Linked DNA regions of Callithrix jacchus. The main gene of each other region encodes a partner of the protein of the gene in region 2 in a complex. Links are inferred from orthologs where the notes say so. Each region holds a gene or a part of one and is shown on either strand. Other genes may lie near its edges.

What was found.
Region 1: UBTF (region 2) and TAF1C share a complex: the UniProt entries of both Homo sapiens proteins name them as parts of the pol I pre-initiation complex. The link is inferred for Callithrix jacchus from reciprocal best matches to the Homo sapiens genes UBTF and TAF1C.
Region 3: UBTF (region 2) and TATA box-binding protein-associated factor RNA polymerase I subunit A share a complex: the UniProt entries of both Homo sapiens proteins name them as parts of the pol I pre-initiation complex. The link is inferred for Callithrix jacchus from reciprocal best matches to the Homo sapiens genes UBTF and TAF1A.
Region 4: UBTF (region 2) and POLR1H share a complex: the UniProt entries of both Homo sapiens proteins name them as parts of the pol I pre-initiation complex. The link is inferred for Callithrix jacchus from reciprocal best matches to the Homo sapiens genes UBTF and POLR1H.
Region 5: UBTF (region 2) and POLR2H share a complex: the UniProt entries of both Homo sapiens proteins name them as parts of the pol I pre-initiation complex. The link is inferred for Callithrix jacchus from reciprocal best matches to the Homo sapiens genes UBTF and POLR2H.
Region 6: UBTF (region 2) and POLR1B share a complex: the UniProt entries of both Homo sapiens proteins name them as parts of the pol I pre-initiation complex. The link is inferred for Callithrix jacchus from reciprocal best matches to the Homo sapiens genes UBTF and POLR1B.
Region 7: UBTF (region 2) and POLR1C share a complex: the UniProt entries of both Homo sapiens proteins name them as parts of the pol I pre-initiation complex. The link is inferred for Callithrix jacchus from reciprocal best matches to the Homo sapiens genes UBTF and POLR1C.

What each region holds. Positions count from the first base shown.
Region 1 is NC_133521.1:41,830,479-41,834,478, forward strand, and holds the start of TAF1C (TATA box-binding protein-associated factor RNA polymerase I subunit C), read right to left. Parts: upstream 2,801-4,000; 5' UTR 2,654-2,800; intron 2,351-2,653; 5' UTR 2,233-2,350; intron 1,891-2,232; 5' UTR 1,848-1,890; intron 784-1,847; 5' UTR 712-783; coding exon 577-711; intron 1-576. UniProt on the Homo sapiens protein: Component of the transcription factor SL1/TIF-IB complex, which is involved in the assembly of the PIC (pre-initiation complex) during RNA polymerase I-dependent transcription.
Region 2 is NC_133506.1:71,067,274-71,070,773, forward strand, and holds part of UBTF (nucleolar transcription factor 1), read right to left. Parts: intron 3,479-3,500; 5' UTR 3,412-3,478; coding exon 3,354-3,411; intron 1,701-3,353; coding exon 1,525-1,700; intron 983-1,524; coding exon 899-982; intron 802-898; coding exon 646-801; intron 1-645. UniProt on the Homo sapiens protein: Recognizes the ribosomal RNA gene promoter and activates transcription mediated by RNA polymerase I (Pol I) through cooperative interactions with the transcription factor SL1/TIF-IB complex.
Region 3 is NC_133520.1:17,669,556-17,673,055, reverse strand, and holds part of TATA box-binding protein-associated factor RNA polymerase I subunit A, read left to right. Parts: intron 1-101; exon of another isoform or gene 102-297; intron 298-1,456; coding exon 1,457-1,589; intron 1,590-3,500. UniProt on the Homo sapiens protein: Component of the transcription factor SL1/TIF-IB complex, which is involved in the assembly of the PIC (pre-initiation complex) during RNA polymerase I-dependent transcription.
Region 4 is NC_133505.1:34,798,452-34,802,718, reverse strand, and holds the start of POLR1H (DNA-directed RNA polymerase I subunit RPA12), read right to left. Parts: upstream 2,801-4,267; 5' UTR 2,758-2,800; coding exon 2,687-2,757; exon of another isoform or gene 2,521-2,686; coding exon 2,366-2,520; exon of another isoform or gene 2,288-2,365; intron 2,129-2,287; coding exon 2,028-2,128; intron 1,822-2,027; coding exon 1,712-1,821; intron 1-1,711. UniProt on the Homo sapiens protein: Core component of RNA polymerase I (Pol I), a DNA-dependent RNA polymerase which synthesizes ribosomal RNA precursors using the four ribonucleoside triphosphates as substrates. Can mediate Pol I proofreading of the nascent RNA transcript.
Region 5 is NC_133516.1:13,344,881-13,347,499, reverse strand, and holds the end of POLR2H (DNA-directed RNA polymerases I, II, and III subunit RPABC3), read right to left. Parts: intron 2,467-2,619; coding exon 2,383-2,466; intron 916-2,382; coding exon 798-915; 3' UTR 501-797; downstream 1-500. UniProt on the Homo sapiens protein: DNA-dependent RNA polymerase catalyzes the transcription of DNA into RNA using the four ribonucleoside triphosphates as substrates.
Region 6 is NC_133515.1:22,055,078-22,059,144, reverse strand, and holds the start of POLR1B (DNA-directed RNA polymerase I subunit RPA2), read left to right. Parts: upstream 1-1,267; 5' UTR 1,268-1,299; coding exon 1,300-1,476; intron 1,477-4,067. UniProt on the Homo sapiens protein: Catalytic core component of RNA polymerase I (Pol I), a DNA-dependent RNA polymerase which synthesizes ribosomal RNA precursors using the four ribonucleoside triphosphates as substrates.
Region 7 is NC_133505.1:51,998,629-52,002,741, reverse strand, and holds the start of POLR1C (DNA-directed RNA polymerases I and III subunit RPAC1), read right to left. Parts: upstream 2,801-4,113; 5' UTR 2,778-2,800; coding exon 2,709-2,777; intron 2,582-2,708; coding exon 2,510-2,581; intron 570-2,509; coding exon 462-569; intron 187-461; coding exon 54-186; intron 1-53. Other genes in the region: protein YIPF3, read left to right, coding at 3,083-3,163, 3,797-4,006. UniProt on the Homo sapiens protein: DNA-dependent RNA polymerase catalyzes the transcription of DNA into RNA using the four ribonucleoside triphosphates as substrates.

The DNA.
Region 1 (4,000 bases), on a different chromosome or scaffold from region 2:
CCCTCGTAAGGAGGCCATCCCTGACTCCCATCCCCCAAATCCCTGCTCCACTCTCTCTTTTTATTTGTTCACCCGCTTGCCTCTGCCAGGCTCCATTTCTAGACAGGGTATCTCCAAGGGGAACCAGGTGGCTGAGGATTCCAAGCAAAGAGCCAGTGTCCCTCCAGAGGCACCAGAAACCCTGGCAGGTCTATCCTTCCCTCTCCCAATCCCACCACGCTGTTTCAGCATTCTTCCGGTTTCACTCCAAGCTCTGATCACATTTTGTAAACACATTATCCGCTGAATGAGGTTCACTTGTTTATTCTCGCTCAACTTAGCTCTCTGTGCCAGGAGCAGGAGGTCAGCTGGCTGACTGACACAGCATTCCCAGCACCTCATAAGGAATCTGGCACAGTGGGGGCATCCGTCTAGGGATGGCAGGGTAGCCCAAGAAGGTGGCACAGCCTGTGTCTCAGCAGACTCGTGAGAATGCCACCCCACTCTGTGGCCTTGTCAACTGGGGTGAATGTTAGATGGGGGAACCAGGGAAGGGGTGCACCCTGGAGCTGCCAGGGCCCCTGCCTCCATCCTTACCTTCAAGTTCTGGGGCTGGGCCTCTGGCTGAGTCAGCACGTTCTGCCAGCTGCACATGGACAGGTCAGAGACATCGTTCAGACCAAGGGGGCCGGTCATAAACAATGTGGGGCGGAGGGAGCTGGGAAAGTCCATCTTGGGAACAAGGACCAAGCAGCACACTGGCCACCTCGAGAGACTGGAAGCTGGTGAGGGGTGCCACGGTTCCTGAGGAGTGAAAAGGGCACTATGAGCAGCATATGTTCTTTGAGGAAGCAGATAATAAAAAACGAATGAGTATGTAGCCCAACGCCAAGCAGTAATGGGAACTATATTAAAGCTAGCCACCCACCCAGGAGAGCTGGATCTGCTAACAGGCCCAGGGTGTTGTTTCAGCAAAGCCAGCCAGGAAAAGCCTTGTTGAGAAGGTGGCATTGAGCACAGCCTGAACTTAGTGAGGGACAGAGCTATGTACACAGCTGGGGAGAGGGTTCCAGGCAGAACCATCAGCAAGTGTGAAAATCCTGGAGCAGTGACGTGTATGAGACACAATGAGGTGGAGAGCGGGGTGGAGAGCGGTGATGGACCAGACTGCTGGTGGGGCAGCCTCTCACACAATGAGGCAGCCGCAGGGTGAGCGAGGTGGAGAGCGGTGATGGACCAGACTGCTGGTGGGGGCAGCCTCTCACACAGCTCCTAAGCCCCGTCATCACACATTTAGACTATACACACTCCCAAGATAAAGCTCGAGTTACTCCACAGCCAGGGACTGCATCTATCATCGTCTTCCTACTGTCAAGCATAGTGACCCCACAGAAAATGCACTATGGGTTGAATAAAAATAAATTTATATCACAAGGGGCCGGGCGCGGTGGCTCACACTGGTAATCCCAGCACTTTCAGAGGCTGAGGCGGGTGAGTGGATTACCTGAGGTCAGGAGTTTGAGACCAGCCTGACCAACACGGAGAAACCCCATCCCTACTAAAAATAGAAAATCAGCTAGTAGGGTGGTGCATGCCTGTAATCCCAGCTACTTGTGAGGCTGAGAAAGAAGAATCGCTTGAACCCGGGAGGCGGAGGTTGCAGTGAGCCGAGATGGCACCACTGCACTTCAGCCTGGCAACAGAACAAGACTCCATCTGAAAAAAAAAACAACACAAAACCAAAAAACACAACAAAACTCCACAGTCCTCTGGAAGTTTGAGTGGCCATGTTATCCCTCCTTTTTAATTAGCAAAAATAACGGGCAGAAATAACAGCAGAGCTCACTGACCAAGCGCCAGGCATCTACCTGTCAGGCACTTGCTAAACGTTTTCCTCTTCTATCGCCGTCCCTGTTACGGAATTCAAGAAACGAAGGCTCTGCAAGAACTTCAGTACAACAGCTCTTAAGGTGCCACAGCCAAGGCTTGATTCGCACCTGATTCAGAGGCAGAGCTCTGAACCACTGCTCTCCCATGCACCGAAACGCGAAGGCTGGCATTAGGATCTCACTAAACAAAAACCTTTTCCCTTTGGCCAGGTGCCGTGGCTCCTGCAGCAATCCCAGCACTTAGGAAGGCCAAGGCGGGCGGATCACCTGAGGCCAGGAATTTGAGCCAATATAGTCCGGCCAATATAGTGAGATCCTGTCTCTATTAAAAATAACAAAATCTGCCGGGCGTGGTGGCGCACACCTGTAATCGCAGCTACTCGGATGGCTGGAGAACGAGAATCGCTCGAATCCGGGAAGCACTGGTTGCAGTGAGCCAAGATCATGCCACAGGACTCCAGCCTGGGTGACTGAGCAAGACTCTGTCTCAAAAATAAAACAGAAACAAAAGGATTTTCCCTCGGAACCGCACAGCCTGAAACGATCCTACGCAGGTGGAGCGCACGACCCCGCAAAAGCCCTCCCACAAGGCAGCCTCGACTTCCCTAGCCGGCTTCCCGCCCTCGCTGCAGGCTCCCCAGGACCCTTTAGACTTCCGAGGCTTCAGGACTCCGCACTGACGCCAGGCCGGGGACGGGGGATTCGGGGATTTCTCTCCTCCTCCATCTGCGGGTGCACTCCTCCCGAACACGCCCAGTCCGCGCGGAGGAGGCAGATGCACTTACGTGGCCCGGGTCCGATCGTGATTTTCAAGAAAATGGGCCGCGGCGTGAAGCTCGCCCGACCCCGACACCACGCGGGAAACCTCAGACAGAACCACAGAGCCGGCACTCAGCCCCTCCGCGGCCACTCACGGCTTTACCGTTTGAACCGGAAGTGCCTCCTGGGAAGGCAGGAAGTCCCGCCTCCCAGTCAGGCGTCATTGGGTCTTGGCGGACCCGGCGTTCAGGCGGCGCGTGGGCGGCGAAAATAAAGCTCCCTGGAGTCTCAGTAGTGGAGGCTGGGTGATTGTGGGTTCGAATCCCACATCTGCTTCACCAATTTCCTCGGTGTTGTATTGTATTAATCATTTAACGAACTGTTACGGAGCACCTACTATAAGCCAGGCACTGTATTAATAAGTAGGTATCTTAGTGATTGTTCTTAAATCCTAAGAAGCAGGCTTTATAAATAAGAGTACAAATGCCTCCTGAGAGTGAGGCTTTGCAAGGGTTGGTCAGGCAGGGAGAGCTTTAGGCAGTGGTTCTCAAACTCTGGCAAGTGTGCATCAGCAGAAGCACCTGGGGGGCTCATTAAAACACGGTCTCCAGTTGGGTGAGTCTGGGGTGGGGTCTGATAATTTGCCCAAGTTCCCAGGTGATGCTGAGACTGCTTATCTGGGGGTCATGCTTTAAGAACCAGTATCCAGTCATAAACCTCACCGTTATCCTAACGTAGTACTTCTCAAACTTGAGTGAGCCTCAGCTCCACCTGGAGGGCTTGTGGCAAGTTTGCTTCAGCCTTCCTCTGCCTCCTGAGCTGTTGATTCAGTAGATCTGGGATGCAGGCCAAGCGTCTGCATTTCTAGCAAGTTCCCAGATGGTGCTGGTCCAAGGCCCACACTTGGAGAACAGTTGCTTTAAAGAATCAATTTCCAAATTCTCCAACTGTCATCTATAGTTTTTTTCTTTTTCTTTTTGAGATGGAGGCTGGAGTGCAGTGGCGTGATCTCAGCTCACTGCAACCTCTGCCTCCCGGGTTCCAGCAATTCTCCTGCGTCAGCCTCCTGAGTAGCTGGGATTACAGGTGCATGCCACCATGCCTGGCTACTTTTTGTATTTTTAGTAGAGATGGGATTTCACCATGTTGTGCAGGCTGGTCTCGAACTCCTGACCTCAAGTGATCCACCCGCCTTGGCCTCCCAAAGTCTTGGGATTACAGGCGTGAGCCACCATGCCTGGCCTATATCATTTTTATCTGGGAGTTTTTACCTGGACTAAAAATGTCGGCAGGGCTGTGTTCCCCTTGGGAGGCTCTGAGGAAGAGTCTACTGTCTTGCCTTTTCTGGCTTCTGGAAGCTGCCTCCATTCCTT
Region 2 (3,500 bases):
TGGGCAACCCCCTGCTCAGGGTTAATGCTTTGATGGTCTGAGACAGTGCCCGACCTCTGCAAGGAAGAGCATGAGGCCAGGAGGGGCAATGTGTGTCCTTGAGTGAACATGTGTGTGTGTGGAGAGGTGTACTTCACAGGTGGACGTGGCAGTAAGAGCACTGGCTGGGACTCTGGGACACTATCCTGCTATAGCATTAACAGTTGTGTCACTCAGGCCACGTAACCCTCCTGCACACAAAACTGGGATAACATTTTCCTGGGTTTCCTTTTCGAAAACACTGCAAGTATCAAATGAGACCATGACAGGAAGCGTCACAGAGAGGGAAGAAGTGCTGTGCAGCCTGACAGTGAGGATGGGTGGATGGGGGAGAGCCTTATAAAACAAAACACTGTGGGTTTTCTACAGGGGGAAAGGTTGGCCTGAGCACCTGCTGTCTGGTTTACGTCTGTGACGGTGCCCATGCCTGACCACTTGTGGGCTGAGGAAGGGGCAATCAGGTGTGACTGCCCAGGACCTACTCTGCTGTGCTGACTCACCTGTCCCCGATGCCAGGTCCCTCCAAGGCCTACCTCCAACTGACCCACACCACCCCAGCTGCTCCCAGCCTCTCCCCTCCTCCCACCTTAGCTCTCCTCCCCCCACCTTCTTCTTCTCTGGAAGCTCCTTGTATTTCTTGGACAGAATCTTGGTTAGGTCCAGGTTGCTCATCTCAGGGTGGAGTTTCGCATATTTGGCCCGCTTCTCCATGAAGAAGCGGAAATAAGGGGTCAGGGGCTTCTTTGGGAAGTCTGGGTGTTTCTGGAAGGAGGGACAAGGACATAATGGAGGTCATATACCATCTGTTATTTGGACCTTTCCTCCCCTACCCTTCATGCGCCTCTTTCTAGTAACTCACCTTGAGTTTTTTGCCTTTGTAAGGATTTTTCACGTGTTCCTGGGCATCAAGGATCAATTCTGTCAATGTACGGAACTTCCTCACCTGGAGGAAGAGGAGAGGAAAGGAGGGGAAGTTGAGAAAAGGAAAATGCCACACAGTAGCATATCCCTATCTTACCACGGGTACTCCCATCCTGAAACGGGTCTCTTCTACTCTTCACTGGACTAAAGTTACCAAAGAGCAGAGGCCAACAGCCAAATGAAGCAGGCAGCATGACACCCAGGCCCTGGCCCATGCCTACTGCAGAGGCCCAGGCAGTCAGTGCACACCAAAGGCCAGCAACAAGCGGACGACATGACCTCTACCTGGCTCTCCATGCCAGCACCTCCTTCAATCTCAGCACAGCTCAGGCTGTTTGGCTCAAGACCGATAGAAAGTGGCGTAACTCTAAGCCAGTGCTGTCAACCACACCACCTCCCAAAGTGCACAAGGGCAGGTAGAGAGCTAGCAGGCGACCACACAAACACCTCTCCTGGTCTCTTTCCTTCCTGTTTACAGCTGGCTATTTCACTTCCCCCCACCACAGCTGAGGTAGGTGTATGTGGAGATGTGTATACATGTGTGTCAGGAAGGGGATCAGTTACCTCGTTAGAAATCTCCACCCATTTGAGCTTGCACATGTCTCCAGAAAAGTCCTTAAATGCTACTTTTTCCCAGTCCATATGTGATTCGGTGGTTTTGAACTTGGAGCTGTCATTGGATGGAAGATTGTTCTTCATGCATTCCAGCAAAGTCAGCATGTCTTCCTGGGACCAGCGATCTGGTGAAGGGTAACAGAGGCCATCGTACCTGGCTCATGCTATCCCCCTATTCTGTTCCCCAGTTATTGAGTGCTCAACCCTTTTTCCCTAGGAAATCCCAGCCCCTGGTTGCTTCCCATCTGAAGGCAGAGATAAAACGTAACTCAGTTCTAAGCCAACTGTGGCCATATTGGATCAAGGCAGGGACTCCAGTCCAGAACATGCCATACCTAGAAAGCTAGGTTTGACTGGCAAACATGGTGAAACCCTGTCTCTACTAAAAACCCAAAAATTAGCTGGGTATGGTGGCACACGCCTGTAATCCCAGCTACTCATGAGTCTGAGGCAGGAGAATCACTTGAACCTGGGAGGTGTAGGTTGCAGTGAGTGGAGATGGTACCATTGCACTCCAGCGTGGGCAACAAGAATGAAACTCCGTCTCAAAAAAAAAAAAGCAAGGCTTGAACACAAGTCTGGCTTGCTTCAAAGTTATTATCATTTCTCCCGTGCCAGGCTGCTACCAGCAGCTATTTATTGTAAGGGAAGAGGAGTGGGTATGAAGGTATAGTGATTCAGGGCTTTGTGGGAAACAGGTAGCTTGTCAGAGAAGGTGGGAAGCAGGGAGGCAATATACCTAAATGTGTGGCCAAGCTCAAGTTCCGAGTTTAGGATACCCTAAATATGCAAGGACTGAGAAGGGGGTGTGGGCAGTAAGGAAAACCCATGCAGATGTCTGCGCTGCACAGATGGAAACCAGTGTTAGAGACACCTCCACCCCCAGGCCCCTCAGCGTAGATCAAGGAAGAATTTCTGGCAAACAAGAAAAAGGGAACAGAAACAGAAGCAGCATACAGAGCAGCTCTGAGGTAAGGGAGGCAGGTGCACAAAAGCTCTCAGGGCCCTGCTCCAGGGAGAACCCCCAGAATAACAAGCTGTGTTGTCAGCCCAACTCCCCAGGGAAGCAAGACCAGGTCTGGACTAGCTATTTTCAGCCACGGAAATGCAGCTCCAGAGAGCACTCTAGGCTTCTGCGGATGGGCTGGGAGAATAGCCACCCAAGGCCAAAAGTCAAAAGGGCTCCTCTCCATTTTCATTTGCATCTCCTAACCTGGGCCAGGGTTTCTGCAGAGCAGGTCACATGGACCCATAATCCCCTCTCCCTTCAATATCCCCCAAGCATGGCCAGCTGCCCAGCTTCATCCTACCTTCCAGCCCCATACAGACTTGATCACTGCTGAGTGAGGCAGAGGTCTAGGTGAGTACATATAGCCCATGGCTTGGGGCCTTAAAACACCTCTTTTCTCCACCTATCTCTATAAAAGCCTCATCGTCTTAATAAAAACCCTGAGACGACTTCCCCAGCCCCTTCCTCTACACTCATTCTTCCTCCCATCCCAGGACACTGAGACGGGACACACTTCAGGCTGAATGGGACCCCAGAAGGCATGCCGCCTCAAACTCAGGGGATGAGGGAAAGGAGAAGTGAGCCATTCCAGGCCAAATAATTTGAATTCAACCACACCTCAAGTGTGGGAGATGCTTGATTCATCAATACTTAAGGCACTTTCTTGCCCAGTTCAGAGTATGGAGAAGCCCTTGAGAAGGGAGTGAGCCCCGCAGCCATGAGAAAAAGAGGATTTAACTTTCAGAGGGCTGGGGATGAATGCCCCTACCTTGGCCTTTGGGAGCGGCCATTTCCAGGTCTGTGGGGCAGTCGGCTTCTCCGTTCATCCTCCAGCTGTCCAGCCACCTCCTTGGTCGTGCTGGCCGGGCAACCCGGGGTCAAAACCACCTCACCCTTTGGAAGACATACCAGTTCC
Region 3 (3,500 bases), on a different chromosome or scaffold from region 2:
GTAAGTCTTCCACTTTATGGCTGAGACAGACAAAAATGTAAAACTCGGGCAAAACCAATGGGAGCAGGGCAATTTACTGTCACTTCCCGGGTCATTTCCAGGGTCCAGGAGGGGCCAATGAGACGTCTGCAGCTGCTGGAGGAGTTAGGAGTGAGGCCGCGCGTTGCCTGAAGGCCTTAGGCGGGTTTTGCGCATGCTCATATAAAGCTCTCCTAACCGATCTTCCGAAGAAAATTTCACGTGTTTCGGGGTCAGAGACTGAGTTTAGCTTTACTGAGGAGCTCTAACTTTAGGCGGGTAAGTGCCGCGGATATCGCCCGTGGTTCCTGCGTTTAAATGGAACGGGAAGGGGTGTGTCAGAAGTCATCCATGTTCTTCTGATATTTCCTCCTAATACTGAAACTATTTTTTGGGGTCTGAGAACGAGAGAAGGGGGATGGAGAAGCTTCGGTTGCTTCTTTTGGATTTTTGAGGATTTGGGAAGGGAGGATTTGTGTAACTACTCCTCAAAATACTTGATGGGTCAAATTTAAATTCAGTTTTTACTTATAACTCATACTCCTAGCCACAGAATTTGATTTTAGAAGGTTTACTCTGGCTGTAATGCAAAGAAGCAGACTCCGAGGCAGGGTAGTTGTTTAGAAAGGTAACGCAGTAATCTAGACACAGTTTTAAGGGGTCTTGAACTAGGGTAGTGCTGTAAGATTGCAGAGAACAGGGGAAATTGGGGAAATTTAGGAGGTAATATCAGAGGTACCAATACTCGATTTCATAAGGGTAATGAGGGAGGGGCCCTGAGCATCTTTAGAAGTACGTCCAAATTCAGCTTGGCTTATGATTGTCTTTCTAGGTTCGCTTCTCACCTTCCGCACCCCTCCTCCACACACACCCCGAATTCTAGTCATGGCCAAGTAGTTTGGTGTTCTATTTCCTTTTTTTGTAACATCACCTTTCTTTGTAACGTTAGGCAGGTTTCATCATTTCACTGAGCCCCTCAGTTTTTTCAACCTTAACATGGAAGAAAGTAATATACTCACCTCAGGATTGCTGTGAGAATTATATTAGATAATTTATACTTCTGGTACATAGTAGGGGCCTAATATTAGCTACTACTACTATTATTGTACTTCTTATATTGTTTTGTTATACAAATAATAACAAAACTTTATTTGTAGCTAATTTTATTCATCTGGACTTGACATTTTTTAAATTAGAGGACAGTATCTTATTTTTCTTTATATAGGCTTGAAACATTGGTAGTTTGGTGTTTTTTTTTTTTTTAATGTATCATTTATTTTGGCTGTTGCTGACATAATTCATCTTTTACTTTAAAAGAGCTCACAGGTGTAATTCATTTTGCTGATCTAATTATATTTATTAGATAAAAAGATGGCTGTTTTTCTGTACAACTCAGAAGACTGTATTAAGATGTACAGAGAGTAACTGGTATTCTCAGTCTGTAATAGGTATGAGTGATTTCAGTGAAGAATTAAAAGGGCCTGTAACAGATGATGAACAAGTGGAAACATCTGTGCTCTCTGGTGCAGGAATGCATTTTCCTTGGCTTCAAACCTACATAGAAACTGTGGGTAAGTAAAATAATAACACTGAACCATTGTAACTTTAAGAAGGTGGTAAGATTCCATACAGATACAAAATAACCAGGCTGGTTTAATTTTCAAGATAGGACTATATGGGGGTATTTTTTAGGCCATAAGCCAAAGAAAAAAAAATCTTTTTTCTTTTAGAATTTTTTGCCCTTGGATTAATAATAGATAGTCTGTATTATGCTAGATACACATTTTTTTTTTAGTAATACTTACTGAACACTTTTATCTCTGGCATTGACTATATATTTGAGAGTTATAGATGAAGAAGATACGGTCTCTGCCATTGAGGAAAACATACCTAGGAAGTGTTCCAGAAGTTACTGTTGAATTGCATTGACATTATTTCTAATAGATTTGGTCATGAAATATATATATATATATTATATTTATTAGATATATATATTATATGTATATATATTTTATATATATCATATATATGTATCTATATATCTATATATATTGAGACCAAGTCTCACTCTGTCTCCTAGGCTGGAGTGCAGTGGCCTGATCTTGGCTCACTGCAACCTCCGTCTTTGGAATTCAAGTGATTCTCTGGCCTCAGCCTCCTGAGTAGTTGAGATTACAGGCAGCTGCCACCATGCCCGGCTAATTTTTGTATTTTTAGGAGAGATAGAATTTCACTATGTTGGCCAGGCTGTTCTTGAACTCCTGACCTCAAGTGATCTGCCCACCTCGGCCTCCCAAAGTGCCGAGATTATAGGCATGAGCCACTCTACCTGGCCTAGATAAAAGAGCATTTTCTACATTTTTATCTAATGTAAATGCAAGCATGTTTTTCTATGGGATAGTTTTCCTATAAGAATATATTTAATATAAATAAAAGAAGCAATTATTTGTATGCTGGCATGTTAAGTGGTATAGTCCGGGGAATACATTTGAACCAGCATTTTACTTATTGCCCTTAAATATGTATTTTTTGCCCAGCCTTTTCTCCCCTTGACAGAGATTCCTTGGCTCCTAAAATTTTGCTTTTATTTTTTTATATTAATCTAAGTATCATCTCATTTAATGATCTCAGTAAGTTAATACTCAATAATTTTTGTGCTAGACAGTTTAGGTGGAAGGAAACTGAATCTCAAAGACATTACGCTCTTAAGTGGTGGTATCAAGAGTCAAACCCAGGTCTGTTTGATCTCAAAGACTACGCTTTTAATCACTGAGGTATATTTTTTAAAATGAGATAGTATACTTCAAGTGCCTAGCATAGTATCTTACGCATAGTGAGTGTTGAAAAATAATAGTGCCTTTCCTCTCCTCGTTTTATTTTTGCTAAATTAATGCACATGGCTTAAGGCAGATCTGAATGAATGATACGTCAGAGATAGTGCTACCTCCTCCCTGGCAGGGAACTAGTAATTTAAATTCCCTCTAGTTATGCCATACTTGGGCATGTTTCTGTTACCAGTGTTCTATAGAGGGTCTGAGTCAGTCTGCAAGTAGATACATTTAAAACCAAAGACCAAAATTTACATGCTTAGAAATATTTTACATGTCATAGATGGCCTGTTAAACCCAAAATACTGTTGGTCTGCAATGAGAAAATACTTGCAAGTAATATTGACATTGTTCTGGTAATTAACTATAATAGGAAAACAAAATTGCCTGACAATTACTGTATTTATTTTTTATGCTGGTAGGTATCTTTTGGCATTTTGAAGGGCATACCCAGCAAGCCCCTTATAATAAAAACTTTGAAGACGGGACAAGTCTGGATTGAAGCTCTATGATGAGTACCTAGAATAGTGCTTGGCACACAGTGGTGCTCAAAAAATATTTGTTGACAGATTGATACGTTTCCAGATTCTTTCAGTAGCATATTAGAAGTTAGGTTGATGACAGTGGTTCTTTATTGTACATCTCTATTCCATG
Region 4 (4,267 bases), on a different chromosome or scaffold from region 2:
AAAAAAAATCTTTTTTTTTTTTTTTTTTTGGTAAAATGACAACCAGCGATAGGAAAAAATACTCTTAAAAGATATATCTGACTGTGAATATTTTTAATCCATTGATGAGATGGTGAGAAAGTAAAGGCAAACTTCACACTGGTAAAAGTTATGCAAAACCAGAAATCCAGACAGTGAAAACTGAAGTCCCAATGAAACGTGACACTATGGTGCCCTTAATACTGTTATGACGGTCACTGAAAGCATAGGAAATGAGGGACAAAATGTAAAAGGTCTGATAGGAGATTCCCTGCATAAATTTGGGAACTGCAAAGAGCTGCCCTTTTTTGTAAAAGTGAACAAGAAAAGAAAAAATTCAACTCTATAGAAGGGGAATTTGTCTTAGTAGGCAGGAGAGAAAACTCTCTCCTGAGAATTTCTAACCATAAGCTAACCCTTACGTGGATTTGCAGCTCAAATTCATACTATCTGTCTGCTCCAAAAAACATGAAGCCAAGAATTTATTTAAAGTAATTCCAGCTTGATAGTGCTTCAAGGAAAAGAAATGCAAATGCTGAGAATACAGCACTCACTCAAGGTCTCAAAGAATTCCTACAGTTCAAGTTCTAAAAAACTCAAATTTATAGACAAAATCACAAAACAGAAAAAAGGCACCATGAGAGAGCAGAAACAAAAGACAGCAGCATCAGAAGACAAAATCCATGGATATCAGAATTATGAGACATAGACTATAATAACCATAATTAATATTTTAAATATATAAAGAATGAACAATTTAAAATATGATTAAGGAACTGAAAATTATTTAAAAATTGAGGAGATTTGAAAAGTAAATAGAATTCAAAGTAATAGCAATAATAAAAAATAATATTTAAAATAAACTGAAGACAGAATTAGTGACATGGAAGAGGGACCTGAAGAAATTACCCAGAAGGTGGCATAAAGAGAAAAGCGATTGAAATATGAAAAGAGGGTGAGAGAAATGGAGGACAAAAGAGACACCTCTCTTCTTGTAACTAATTAGAGGTCCAGAATGTGAGGACTGGGAACATGGGGGAAAGGCAATATTAAATGAGATGATAGCTGATAATTTTCCAAGGCTGATTAAAAAAAAAAAAAATTCACTCTCAGTTTCAGAAAGTGCAACAAATCCCAAACGGAATTTTTAAAAAATCACATTTTTATATACTGTAGTGACTGAAGGACACCAAAGACAAAGATGATGTCTTAAAATAATTCAGAAAGCCCATGTTCCCTAAATCGTGCGTGACTAATTTTCTCCAATGTAAAGCTACCTTGACTGCAGTTGAAGACTGCAGTATAAGATGCCGACCACTAAACAATACCTGCTTCTTATGTTTTTTGTTTGTTTGTTTTTTCATTTCCTTTTATATATCCTAAAAGTAGGTCAGACAGGGTAGCTCATGCCTGTAATCCCAGCCCTTTGGGAGGCTGAGGTGGGTGGATCGCTTGAGCTCAGGAGTTCAAGACCAGCCTGGGAAACACAGAGAAATCCCATCTCTACTAAAAAAAAAAGAAAAAAGTGTAATAAAAAAAATAAAAAAAAAAAACCAACCACAAATGTTCTTATTACCAGAACTGCACAGAAATGGGACGAAAGGAAATGGTGGTTTAGAACAACAACAACAGAATCACTGGATTTGTTTAGTTAGCAAACAGACTGAGCAGAGGGAGGGGAAGGGATGCCCACTTGCAGTTGGTACAGGTGTAGAAGACAGTTTGCCCTTCGTCTGCTGAACGCATCTGTCTGGTGTGGTAAGCCATTCCTTCATGACCACATCGAGAGCAGCGCCTGTCAACCTGGGAAGAAACCGGTGGGTTAGGGAGGCCAGTTCATATCCCCTCACTTCCCACAGGAATCAGGCGATCACTCCTCTCAAACATGGATGCTTTACATCTCTTTTCCCTCTTGGACTTGGGCACACAACTCTCCAGATCTCTGCAATCATTCCTCCGTTTCTTTCCTACCCACCTTATGGAGCCAGTCATTGAGCTCATTAACTTACCACAGGTCCCTGGAACTCAGGCCCTTCCTCCACCGACACAGGCATGGCTGTCCCCAGCTGGTGGAACACAACTGAAGTCTTCACAACCTTCCCCTCAAAGTCTGCACAGGCAAGTAAGAACTGGTTATGGAGACAACCAGAGGGAGCTGACACCGGAAACCTCCCCTTTCCCCTGACTGGTTAGGCCAGGAAGCCCTATATCCTTTCCTTCATTTTTCATCTCGAGACCAAATGTACAATTGCCTGATCTCCTGCTCTAGGGTCCCCTGCCGATCTTGAGGTCCCCAAGTTTCCGACCCTGGACCCTCCGCCAGGACCACTGCGTACAAGCCTCTCACCCCGAACGTTGATGTTGAAGCCACAGCGAGTACAGGTAACCGTATCCTGAGCCCCTGGCAGAGGCAGGACCGAGCCGCACTCTGAACAGAAATCCAAGTCCGACTGAAAGCTGGAGCAAGTGCTGGCTAGGTCCATGACGCATATGCGGTCAGGCCTGAAGAGGGAGTTAGAAGTTATATTAACAAAAAGAGAGGAATCCCCCCAACACAGAGGTCATAACAGTTCTGTCCCAGTACCTGGGAGTATATAACCCGAGCTCTCCTCCCACGCACGCCTCCTGCCTCTGTGACCAGGGAGCTGAAACGCCCGGAATGGCTTACCAGCTAGCGTCGGGTAGTAAAGGACTTGCAACCCTTTCCTGGGGCCGGCGAGAGGAGCGAGCCAACTCCATGGGCTAGAGCGGCAGCTCTACGCCCGCCGCTCAGCGGCGAGCTAGAGCCGGCTAGAGCGTCACGCATTCGGGCTGACAATTGGTTGTGACGTCATAAATAATTGCGAACCTTGTCTCGGGAGCCTTAGAGATGGAGCCTAACCTCTCCGAAGGGAGTTTGCGGCTTCACTTTCACCCTAGTGCTGAGACGTTGAGCACAAAATTCGTAGCCAATGCTGCGCTTCCAGCAAATTTTCCCACCAGTACCCAATCCTCGGATATTTATTCTTTGTCTCACATCCTACAGGAACCGAGTCCCGGGAGATATCCCCCTGAAAACTGTATTTTGCTGAATACTGATTTCTTTGGATTAGAGAACTACAACTATCCCTGATCCTGAGCAGGTTTTTCCCTTTTGCGGCTGCAGAGTAGTTAAAAAGAAAGCTAAGTGTTCTGGGACGTACAGTTTTAGTGTTCCTTGGGTCCCGCTGGAGAACGTGGGCTTTCAGCAGAGCGCAACTAGCCTTGTGTGCTTTGGGAACAGTTCGCCGCTTGTAAGGGGTAAGTCGGATTCTTGAGGGACCGCAAGTGGTGAGGGTGAAGTCAGGAGGTACAGGGTCCAGCCCTACAGGGTTCTGTGAGCCCCTCTCTGTTGGTGTGGAGAAAAGAAACCAGAAATAAAAGACATAAGACACAGAGATAGAAAGTTTGGGTGGGGTGGCGTGGGGTGGGGGGGGTTCACTGCCAGCCAGATCGCGGAGTCCGGCAGTGGCCCCGGTCGTGTCTGCGCATTCTGACTTTTTTTGAGTACAAAGCTGAGGGCAGGGTAAGTAGGTGTGGCATTGGTGGTTGGTGGTCAGCAACCAGGGGAAAGGTAGATGGGGCGTAGCAGTGATAGGGTCAAGTACATCACATATCATACAGGTACGGACCCAGGAATTTCTAGGAGCCGGGATGAGGCAAGGAGCCTAATGCGTTAGCACTTTTCCATACTTGTTAAGAAAGAACAAAGACATTAAGTTTATATTACTCTTACTGATTATCTCTTCTAAGAAAATAGGAACCTGGTACAGAAGTAGGACATGAGAGTGGACATGGAATGTGACCACTGAAGCACAGCATCACATAGAGACAAATAAGCCCCCGGATGCCTGTGGGTCTACCTGACAGCTGTCAGGCCTAAGGCAAGAGATTGGAGGAGTGGAGTTTTCGCTTAACTCCCCCGGTGAATGAGACGTCTCAGCCAGCTTTGGACGCCTCCTTCCCTAGCTGGCTCAACAGCGGGCATTTTCTCAGTGCTGACGCGGTAGCACAGCAGAGGCGGCCCTAGTCGCCCTTATGCAGGCATAGCTGCTGTAAAGCGTCTTGCTTTAGGGTCATTGCCCTCACAATGTCACCCCAGGTTCTCACTTTCCGGCCTGAGACCTGAGAGGCATTAGTAAAAGAATTAAGATCACCTATAAATAACTAAGATCACTTGTGAATAATTAAGCCATCACTATTTTCTCTTGTGAAGGACAGAAGCTGTAGT
Region 5 (2,619 bases), on a different chromosome or scaffold from region 2:
CTGTCCACTTCCACTTACCCTCCCTCCCGGGTCACCACTGGAATGTAGAGCAGAGAGCCAGCTCCTCCACCTGCCTCCGGAAGCACCAAGTCCTCTCCTCCGACTCTTCAGAGTCATCCCCCATGCCTGTAGCTAAAAGCCTCTACCCAAATCTTCCACAAAAATAATGAAATAATGAGACTATGCAAGTGACTCATTCAAGTCAATGTGAACTGACTCTCTAAGAGACTGAAAGTGTTGGAAGGACACGAGCAGGGCTCCTTGCCAATTCAAACTTCTGTGCCAAATGGGTGGTATCTTCTGGGCCTGGGGTGCCCTCAGGAGCCAAAAGCACAACACTCCCTCTCCCAGACAGAAAACCACACTGGAGGATAAACGTTGGGAACAGTCAGCCAGGAGACTGGGATAACCCTGAACCCAGATACCAAAAGGCTGGAATAGATCCTACAATGGCAAGTGATCAGCTGGCTGCGGGCCAGAAACAGTACACCACAGACAAATTGGAAAAAATGATTTTACAGTAAACGAACTTTTTACAAAAAGGGGAGGGGCAGTCTGAAAAAGTAACATTTGATTAAAAATCATATACACAAAGCTTCCTATTGATTTTAAGCTCTCCCACTGTGTCTTTCACAGGCGAGTGAGTTTCTAACTGAGTGCAGGCCAGTTAAAGATGCAGCCACAGTGGACAGGGAACCAGCCCCTCCTCAACAGGTAATCAAGAGCAGCTGCAACTCAAGCTAGAACGATGTCCAGGACCTGAGTGACGTGGCAGCAAGGCTGGCTTCAGGCGAGGTTCAGAAGGCTAGCTTCTTCATCAGCAGATAAACTCTGGAATCCACCTCAAATCCATGCAGGTTGTTGGCATCCCCCTGCAGCCTCATGAGCAGGCCCCCATAGGACACGTAGGCAGAGCTGAAACAGAAGGCCGCATGCCATGAGTCTGGAGCAGCTACTACTCAGCAGCTCTCCATCTCAGCCTAACAAAGAGAATAACATCTTTCTACTGTTTTGTCACTAGGAACCAAAATTCTGACAAAGATGAATGTACAGATATGTGTAAGGCACTGTTCTTTTTTTCTTTGGGACAGAGTTTCTCTCTTGTTGATCAGGCTGGAGTGCAGTGGTGTGATCTTGGCTCACCGCAACCTCTGCCTCCCGGTTTCAAGCAGTTCTCCTGCCTCAGCCTCCCAAGTAGCTGGGATTACAGGTGTACACCACCACACCTGGCTAATTTTATATTTTTAATAGAGATGGGGTTTCTCCAGGTTGGTCAGGCTGCTCTCAAACTCTCAACCTCAGGTGATCCACTCACCTCAGCCTCCTAGAGTGCTGGGATTAGAGACATCAGCCACTGCGCCCAGCCAGCATTGTTCTTTCTATTAGCAAAGTCGAAAAACACCTATATGCTCCAAATCAGGGGAATGGGATCCACTTACTGAAATGTTATCTAACTATTAAAATGTTTAAGAAAGCTTTACACTAACATGGGGAAACATTTTCTTTTTCTTTTTCTTTTTTTTTGAGACGGAGTCTCTCTCTGTCTCCTGGGCTGGGGTGCAATGGCACAAGATCTCAGCTCACTGCAACCTCCGCCTCCTGGGTTCAAGCAACTCTCCTGGCTCAGCCTCCCAAGTACCTGGATTATAGGTACCTGCCACCATGCCCAGCTAATTTTTTGTAATTTTTTTAGTAGAGACGGGGTTTCACTATGTTGGCCAGGCTGGTCTCAAACTCCTGACCTGGTGATCCACCCACCTCGGCCTCACAAAATGTTGGGATTACAGGTGTGAGCCACCACGCCCGGCCAAAACATGTTTTACATAATGTTAAGCAAAAAGCAGAAAAAAGGTAATTAACACCGCAGTCTCAAAGGAAAAATATAGATGTTAAGAACACTAGGATATTAACAAAAAATTAAAAATAAATTTAAAAAAAGAACACTAGGATATGCAAAAAAGTCTATGTAAAAGGTTCTCTCTGGGTATGGAATGACAGGGTTTTTTTTCTTCTTCACATTCTCTTCCGCATTTCAAATTACTTACAAACAGCACATATTGTTTTAATAAGATTTTAAGGAAAAGACACACACACACACACACACACACAGCCTAATAGTATAATCACTTAATGCTGCATTTGGTTCCTCCATACTTTAACAGGGAGATGACCAGTTTCTCTTCTGGACCACTAGGCCAGGAGGGCCTGACAAAGGGCAGTCTACAATTCAGACTGGAAACTGCTCTAATAACCATTTCTTTCTAGTTCCCACCTATGTCTGAGGTGCCTAAGGAGAAGGACCCAACAGAGGAAGCAGAAGCATAACTCAAAGTCTCAGAACAGGGAGGGGGAAAACAATCCTCACAAGATCATGTAACTTACAGGCGTGTTGCCGCTTCAGTAGAAGTTTCGTCTCCCTCAATCCTGTATACTTTCCCATACATTACATACTCAAATTGGTCAGCCCTATGGAGCAAGAGTAGCAAAGTTATTCTTAACAGTAATTAACAATATAAAAGATGCCATTTAAAAATGGTAACTGGTAACTCGATGCCAGCATTTTAACAACAGGCACATTATAAACATGACGCCATTTAGTCCTCACAGCAATTCTGTGAG
Region 6 (4,067 bases), on a different chromosome or scaffold from region 2:
GCACAAGAATCACTTGAACTTGAGAAAAGGAGGTTGCAGTGAGCCAAGTTCATACCACTACTCTCCAGCCTGGGTGGCAGAGCAAGACCCTGTCTCAAAAAAAAATTAAATTAAAAAGTGGAAGCTAAACATTGGGTACACATGGACATAAAGATGGAACAGCAGACACTGGGGACTACTAGAGCAGTGAGAGAAGCAGGGGAGCAAAGGTTTAAAACTACTTATTGGATACAAAACTACCTATTGGAACTTGGGTGACAGGTTCAACCGTGTCCCAGACCTCAGCATCACGCAATATACATTTGTAACAAACTTGCACAGGTACCCCTGATTCTAAAATAAACGTTGAGAAGGGGAAAAAAGAATGCAAAGCTTGTTTAACTTACAAAATTTACTTAATATACCACTTTAGTAGAAAAAAGGAGCAAAAAGCACATGATCATTTCAATATACACTGAAAAAGCATTTGGCAATAACACTCTTGGGAAGAAAACCTCTCAACAAACTAGAAATAAATTACTTTCTCAACTTGATAAAGAGCATCTTTGGAAAAACCCACAGCCTACATCATATTAATGGTGATGTGAATGCTCCAGTTGGGAGCTTTCTTCCAACATCAGGCACAAAACAAGTATATTTATTCTTGTCCCTTCAACATTGTACTAAATGTTGGACGCCCCCCTACCACAGCCTCTCCATCTGAGACCGCCCGACCCCTACCCCACCTCCTTCCCCGGGCCTCCCCCAGGACTCCAGTCCAGACGATGCGGGGAGGTTAGCGGGCCCGACCTTGGCCTTCCAGGGGTGAGCCTCGCGATTTAGGAGTTGGGTAAAGAGCCCGGGGCCCGGCATCCGATTTTTCATTGAAACAACGACTTTGTCCGGATGACTCCCCAGGGTCGGCATCAGCGTGGGACTTGGAACAGGTTAAGGGACCGGATAGATGGGAACCTGAGAAGACCGCTTACCTCCAATCCTAATTGACTGAGCCAATGAGAGCCAAAGAGGTCACACGCTCAACTGGGTGAGGAGTGGGTTTCGCCTTCTTTAGCAGAGGAGGGAGATGCGTGGAGCGGAAGATGGGAGAAGGGGCGGACCCGCCACGCTCTGGCTGGATACAGCTTTAACCGGCCCGTTCACTCGACGGTTTTGGTTCTACGTCGACCCCATAAAAACCGTAGGGCCTAGGGCGGGCGGAACAAGAGGGAACTACATTTCCCAGCAGGCTGCGGAAGCGGGACTCCGGCCACTACTTCCGGCGCGTACTGAGCGACGGGTGTTAGGTGTGCAAGTAGCCGCATGGATCCCTGCAGCCGGTGGCGAAACCTTCCCAATGGGCCTAGCCTAAAGCACTTGACCGACCCGTCTTATGGAATCCCGCGGGAACAGCAAAAGGCAGCGTTGCAGGAGCTGACGCGGGCTCATGTGGAGTCCTTCAACTATGCTGTGCACGAGGGTCTCGGCCTCGCGGTGCAGGTGAGTGCGGCATCCACTGGCGCCCTTGCCGCGGAGAGACCAAGCTCGAGGCTGGCGGGCGAGAGGGGCCAGGCGGAGCTGGAGGAGGGAGGGGCGGGGGTGAGGTCTGGGCCTTGTGGGGCGCGGGCGGTGACAGGGTCCCAGAGAAATGGCTCAGAGGCCACAGTGTGACCCAAAATGCGTTTGCTCCTTGATCCTGACAGGCTCAGAGGGTAAGCGGGAGAGCACACGTGTTGAACAAGACGCAGAGCTGGGCCTCGTGGAACGTGTATTCGAGTCGTCTAAGAGATGTATTCGTGATTTCTGGATTGAAAAGTGATTGCGAACCATAGTTTCTTGTTGGATAGTTTCTGGGTTCTGTGAGAGTGAGGAAATGGCTTATTGGGGGTGTGCTTCCCAACCATTCACAATGCACATGCCTTTGTATCACTTGAAGACACCTCTCCAAAACGTACCTCAAAATATTCTGAACGTATTTGTAGGTACAGTGTAATGTACAAGGTTATCCTTCAGTTTCCTTTTCTTAGAGCTTTAAAGAGAGAAACTACTCATTTGTTCTGAATTAAGTAGGTGCTAAAGAAGGTATAAATGAGTCGTAAAGGCAAGATTGAATCGAAAAGTGTAATAGCATTACTAGCGTAGGGTAATGGTAGCAGAATTGAGGTGAGGATGGTGGGGGAAAGTTTCGTTTAGTAAGTATCCCCAGTGTCTCTAGGCACTAGGCTCTGAGGATGTGAAGGCCGCAGTCCCGTGTAAGAGACAGTTCATACATTTAAGTGGTCCCTGTCGTGTTTTGGGGTTAAAGGAGTGAAGATAGGAAAGTAGTCCATGCCAATACGCGAGCACTGCTCTGTCAAGGGATTTTATGGGCTACTGTGGGAGCATATAGGCAGCGCAACTAGTCCAGGAGTTTGAGAAAAGGCAGGATTAGATGAGTTCAAGAGGTGAGAAACATGCATTCCGTCCAGGGGAAGAGTAGAGCAGAGTCACATGCTTAGGGGACCCTACCTGTGGTTTTGTTGTGTAAGATTTGTGTTGTGAGAGATACGGGTAGAGATAATGTGAAGAGCTTTGATTGCCAGTCTGATACTTGAACTCTATTCCGCAAATAATACGGGAGGCATTAAAATTTATTTTTTGGGAAGACAAGAGTGGTGGGGATATTTGTATGTATTGTGCCTGGATTCTTAGAGTATCATGTCTGTGAGAAAAAATACCTAATTAAAAGTTAATTAGACCAGGTACAGTGGCTCACACCTGTAATCCCAGGACTTTCGGAGGCCGAGGCAGAACGATGGCTTGAGCCAGGATTTCAAGACCAGCTTGGGTAACATAGTGAAACCTCGTCCTCTGTAAAAGTTAAAAGATAGCAGGGCATGGTGGTGGGCACATGTGGTCCCAGTTACTTAGGAGGCTGAGGTGGGAGGCTAACTTGAGCCCAGGAATTCAAGGCTGCAATGAGCTATGATTGTGCCACTGCACTCCAGCTGGGGTAACAGAGCGAGACCTTGTCTTTAAAAAAAAGATAATCAAATTGAGAAATTTTAGAAAAGCACTAATTCGGGCCGGGCGCAGTGGCTCACGCCTGTAATCCCAGCACTTTGGGAGGCCGAGGCAGGTTGATCACGAGGTCAAGAGATCGAGACCATCCTGGTCAAAATGGTGAAACCCCGTCTCTACTAAAGATACAAAAAATTAGCTGAGCATGGTGGCACATGCCTGTAATCCCAGCTACTCAGGAGGCTGAGGCAGGAGAATTGCCTGAACCCAGGAGGCGGAGGTTGCGGTGAGCCTAGATCGCGCCATTGCACTCCAGCCTGGGTAGCAAAAGTGAAACTCCATCTCAAAAATCAATCAATCAATCAATCAATAAACCAATTGATTGGGTGTGGTGGCTTTTGCCTGTAATCCCAGCACTTTGTGAGGCTGAGGCAGGCGGATCACTTGAGGTCAATCAAGAGTTCCAGACCAGCCTGGTCAACACAGTGAAACCCTGTCTCTACTAAAAATACAAAAATTAGCCGGGCATGGTGGCACATGTCTGTATTCCCAGCTACTTGGGAGGCCGAGGCACGAGAACCGCTTGAACCCTGGAAGTGGAGGTTGCAGTAAGCTAAGATTGCACCACTGCACTCCAGCCTGGGCGACAGAGCAAGGCTCTGTCTCAAAAATAAATAAATAAACAGAAATAAAAATAAACCAATTGTATGTTAACATTTTTATGAAAATCATTTTTCAGAGCAAAAAAGAAATTAGATGAATTGCATTATTAAAAATCTTTTTAATGTCTGGCTTAATGAAAAGACAGCTGGATTCTCATGTCTGCTTCTGCATTCAGCTCCTTGTGATACATTGTTTTGGTTGAAGTAGATGAAGAAAATTTGGCCCTGCACAGAAAATAATGTCACAACTTATCTAGGACTGTAATAATAACATATTTGAAAATGTTCTGTAAAACACAGTAAAGTAAATGACTACTATTTATAAAGCCAAGGGGAAAAAAAAGTTTTATCATATTTTTATGTACTTACAAAATGTAATTTTGCCTACTTTCTTTGGAGTGAATTCCTCTTGTGAGTCAGAATTTATGG
Region 7 (4,113 bases), on a different chromosome or scaffold from region 2:
AACCAGGATTTAAACCCAGACAGTCCACTTCTCCCAAAATTTCATTTTCTCACCTTGGTTCCGATACTCAAAAAGACGGGGGTCAGCATGAATGGGAATGAGCCCCAGACGGTGAGCAAGGATCTCATCCTGAACAATAGATGTGTTGTTGTACACCAGGACCTTCTCCACAGCCATAGTTGGCACCTGCCCAAGGAAAAAATCACTTATCAGCAAAAACCCAATAGACCCCCTACCTATCCCCACAAACTCCAACCTCCAGAGGTAGGGAGCTATCTCTCTTCCTAGAATGTTTAATGAGAAGTTTACAAAGAATGAGAAGGTAAAATCCTTAGCCAGCAAAACTCCAGGAAAAATAAGAAGGGAAGGACAGCTTGAGACACTTAATTCTCCAAGTGACACTCCAAGTGTCAGTGCAGTTCCCAAAGCAAATCCAACCTTGTCACCATGCCTGCCAATACCTCAGCTAACAGAATTCGTCGAAAAGCATTGGCAATGGATGCATCAATTCCCACCATGTCAAACTCCAGTGAGTTTTCATCCATGTGTACCACATCCACACGGAAATTCTAGAGGGACAGGAAAAAGATTAAGTGAAGCCTGCTCTCTTTGTAATAGCTCTTCATACCTCCCCCTCAGATGATTCCAAGTATTATCCACTCATCCAAAAACCACCCTTTGCCCAGACGTCCCTTATTAAATGTTCTTTCTCGTCCAGTGCTTGCTTTAGGTTCATGAAAAGTGTCCATTTTTTGTCTTCCATTCATTAAAACCCTATCCAATATGGCTCCCAACCAAACCATCCACAGAAGCTATTGTCCTAAGAACAGAAACCCACCTCACTGCTTAGTCATGCTGACACTAGACAGTCCTTTTACTAGACGTCTGTTACGCCTGGCATTGATTAAAAAAATCCCCTCCTGGAAAGGCGCAATGGCTCATGCCTGTAATCCCAGCATTTTGGAAGGCCAAGGTGGTTGGATCACGAGGTCAGGAGTTCGAGACTGGCATGGTGAAACCTCATCTTTACTAGAAATACAAAAAACTAGCCGGCCATGGTGGTGTGCACCTGTAATACCAGCTACTCAGGAGGCTGAGACAGGAGAGCTGCCTGAATCCAAGAGGCAGAGGTTGCAGTGAGCTGATATCCTGCCACTGCACTCCAGCCTGAGCAACAGAGACTCCATCTCAAAAAAAAAAAAAAAAAATCCCCTCCTTTTTTGAACTATTCTCCTGGCTTCTGAGCTCCATTCTTCCTTCTCTGATGATCAACAACGTCCACCCATCTCTAAATCTACCAGGTTCTGGTCTCTCTCCCAGGTGACCTTAACCACACTAACAACGGTTTTAGCAACTATCTGTGCTGACACCTCCCAAAATTTTACCTCCCTTCTGATCTCATTTCAAATATGCAGTCTTCTAGCCTGCTAGATTTCTCCAAATGCAGGAAACGACGTATCATCATTCCTCTTCCCCAGACCCATTTCTTCTCTCAGTAAATGATACCACAATGCATCAAAGCAGTTCCCAAGTCAAAAAGTCATTTTATGCTACCCCAACAGCCTTTACCAAAGCAATCACAAATTTACCTTCTTTCTTCCTTTGCTCTCTTTCTACCGTCAGTCTTAGTTCATACCTTCAACCTCAGCTTCCCTTACAACAGATCTGCCTGCTCCATACGATCCTCTTCAAACTCATTCCCTCCCAGCTATCAGGGTTGCAAATCTAATCATGTCTGCTTAACTATTCAAGCTCCCTATCATCAACAGTGCCCAAGACACACTTCAATCTTGCCTACCACTAGTGCCAGAACTGCTTGGACATTCCCGGAGCACAATTCACACCATAACTTTTTTTCAAGCATTAGCCTTTTTCATTGTTCATACTTTATTCCTGTATCAACAGGTTAAAAAAAGTAAAATTTTCCCAAGCACAGATTTATAGATCATGTTTTATAAACTGCACACACAGTTCAGTTGCATAAACAGTAACATTCAGTGATCTATTTAAATGCAATTTTAATCCTTATTTTAAGCTAAGTGAAACAATAATAGACTAAATACACACAAAACCTGTATATCCTCAACTTCACTGACCTGAAACTCAAAGCCTTCCTAATTTAACTCCTGTTCTTTACTTACCGTTCAAAGCTCAATTCAGATCTTCCCTCCTCAAGAAATGTTAAGTACCTCTGGGCCCCTCTTCCTGGTCTCAGCATAATGTTCCCCACACGAATCCTGCCATCTTCACAGCTATCAACCACCTTTACCATATTAAACTAGATTCACTTGTTTATACGCACCATTCCTCAACAAGACTGAACATCTTGTTTGCAGAACTGGGTAGAAACTGTGTCTAACTTGGCCTGTAAACGGAGGTCTACCACATTGCTCAACAAAACTTACAAACGGAGCGACCCCCAAGAGCAGCTACTGAGACAGACACATGCTGCTGAGACCACAGGGTCTGGCCCTCCTAACAATCCCCGGACAACTCTGGCCCCACTGACCTTCTCGAAGCGTTCCTGGTCCCAGGCATCATCATAACCGGAATAGTTACCGGGAAAGTCAGTGGTATGGACCTAGAGCAAAGGGATGAGTTTGTCCACAAATGGACAGTGAGCCTACGGCTATCCCCACGCCAATCCCAAGACCCATCCCTGTTCCGCTCTCATTCCTCCCGCCTGAGCTCAAGGACACAAGTCTTACATTGCGAACCCCAAACTCTCCTAGAACCACGCGGCTCCGCATTTCTTCCACGGCCTGAGTAGCCGCCATGTTCAATCTCTCCAAAAGACTACAGGCTCTAGCTGGCGCGTGCGTTCTAGCAGCACTGCTCCATCTCCGTGGCAACGCACCGCCTCCTGGAATCTTAAATATCGCGAGACTTTGCTCCACCTTCATCCACGTCCCCAATTTCCGGAAGTTGGTTTTGTCCAAACATCCGGGTTTCTCCTTTTTGTGTTCCGGCTGATCCCACCTCTCCGCGACCTGGGACCTCTCCCTTCTTGGGACTCACATCTCGCACACTTCCCTGCGCGCGGGGCTATCGCGGGCTTCAGCGACGGGAGCCCTCAAAGGGCATGGCAACTACAGCGGCGCCGACGGGCGGCGCCCGAAACGGAGCTGGCCCGGAATGGGGAGGGTTCGAAGAAAACATCCAGGTAATGGCCCCAAGGCACCAGATGCCAGCAACCCGAGGGCCGGCGATGTCCAGAAGTGTCTTGGGGATTCTCCCTCGGGGCCTGGAAGTTCACTCCATTTGCAAAACTGCCTTCTTTGGGTCTTGCACACAAAAGTCAGTGGAGTTAACATTGACCTGAAAGGGCCAGACTAGTCTACTACTCCAGCCTGAGGATCTCGGGTCTCTGGGCCCGCCCGAGGCGTTAGGAAGAACGTATTCTTGGAACAAGTTAGGAGGTTGGTTGGGGTCAGGCCTGGAGTGGGGTTGGGTGGGATTCACTGGCACTCGCCGAAAACATACTGTGTTCATAGTTTTGTTTGGGGCTTTGGAAAGACAGAAATGGATTCTTTTTCAAGCTTTTAGTCTTTGATAGGTAAGGTAGGAGAAAGACATGAATGGAAGACTAGTTGGTTTCCCAGGCTAGAAAAGATAGCCAAAGCTATAAATCAAGCGTTCTGAGAGCAAATGAGGGGGAATGGAGTGGCATGATCTGTAGTGATTCCAAGCCGTATCCTCAGCAGTGGAAGAACAAAGCCCTAAGCCCTGGGATGAGCAGAGGACTTAATGGATGGAACAGAAAAGTCCTGCACTCTAGGAGCCATTGTCTTAACAGGGCGGAGGCTCAGCTGTGATTGACATGGAGAACATGGATGATACCTCAGGCTCTAGCTTCGAGGATATGGGTGAACTGCATCAGCGCCTGCGCGAGGAAGAAGTAGACGCTGATGCAGACGCTGATGCGGCTGCTGCTGAAGAAGAGGATGGAGAGTTCCTGGGCATGAAGGGCTTTAAGGGACAGCTGAGCCGGCAGGTGGCTGATCAGGTAAGCAAGATGGAATCCCCTGCAGGTGGAAAAGTAAACCTAGGTGTGTCCCATGTCCTGGAGTTGGTATTGGTGTGTCGCCCCAGGTTGTCCTGGTAGAAATCAAA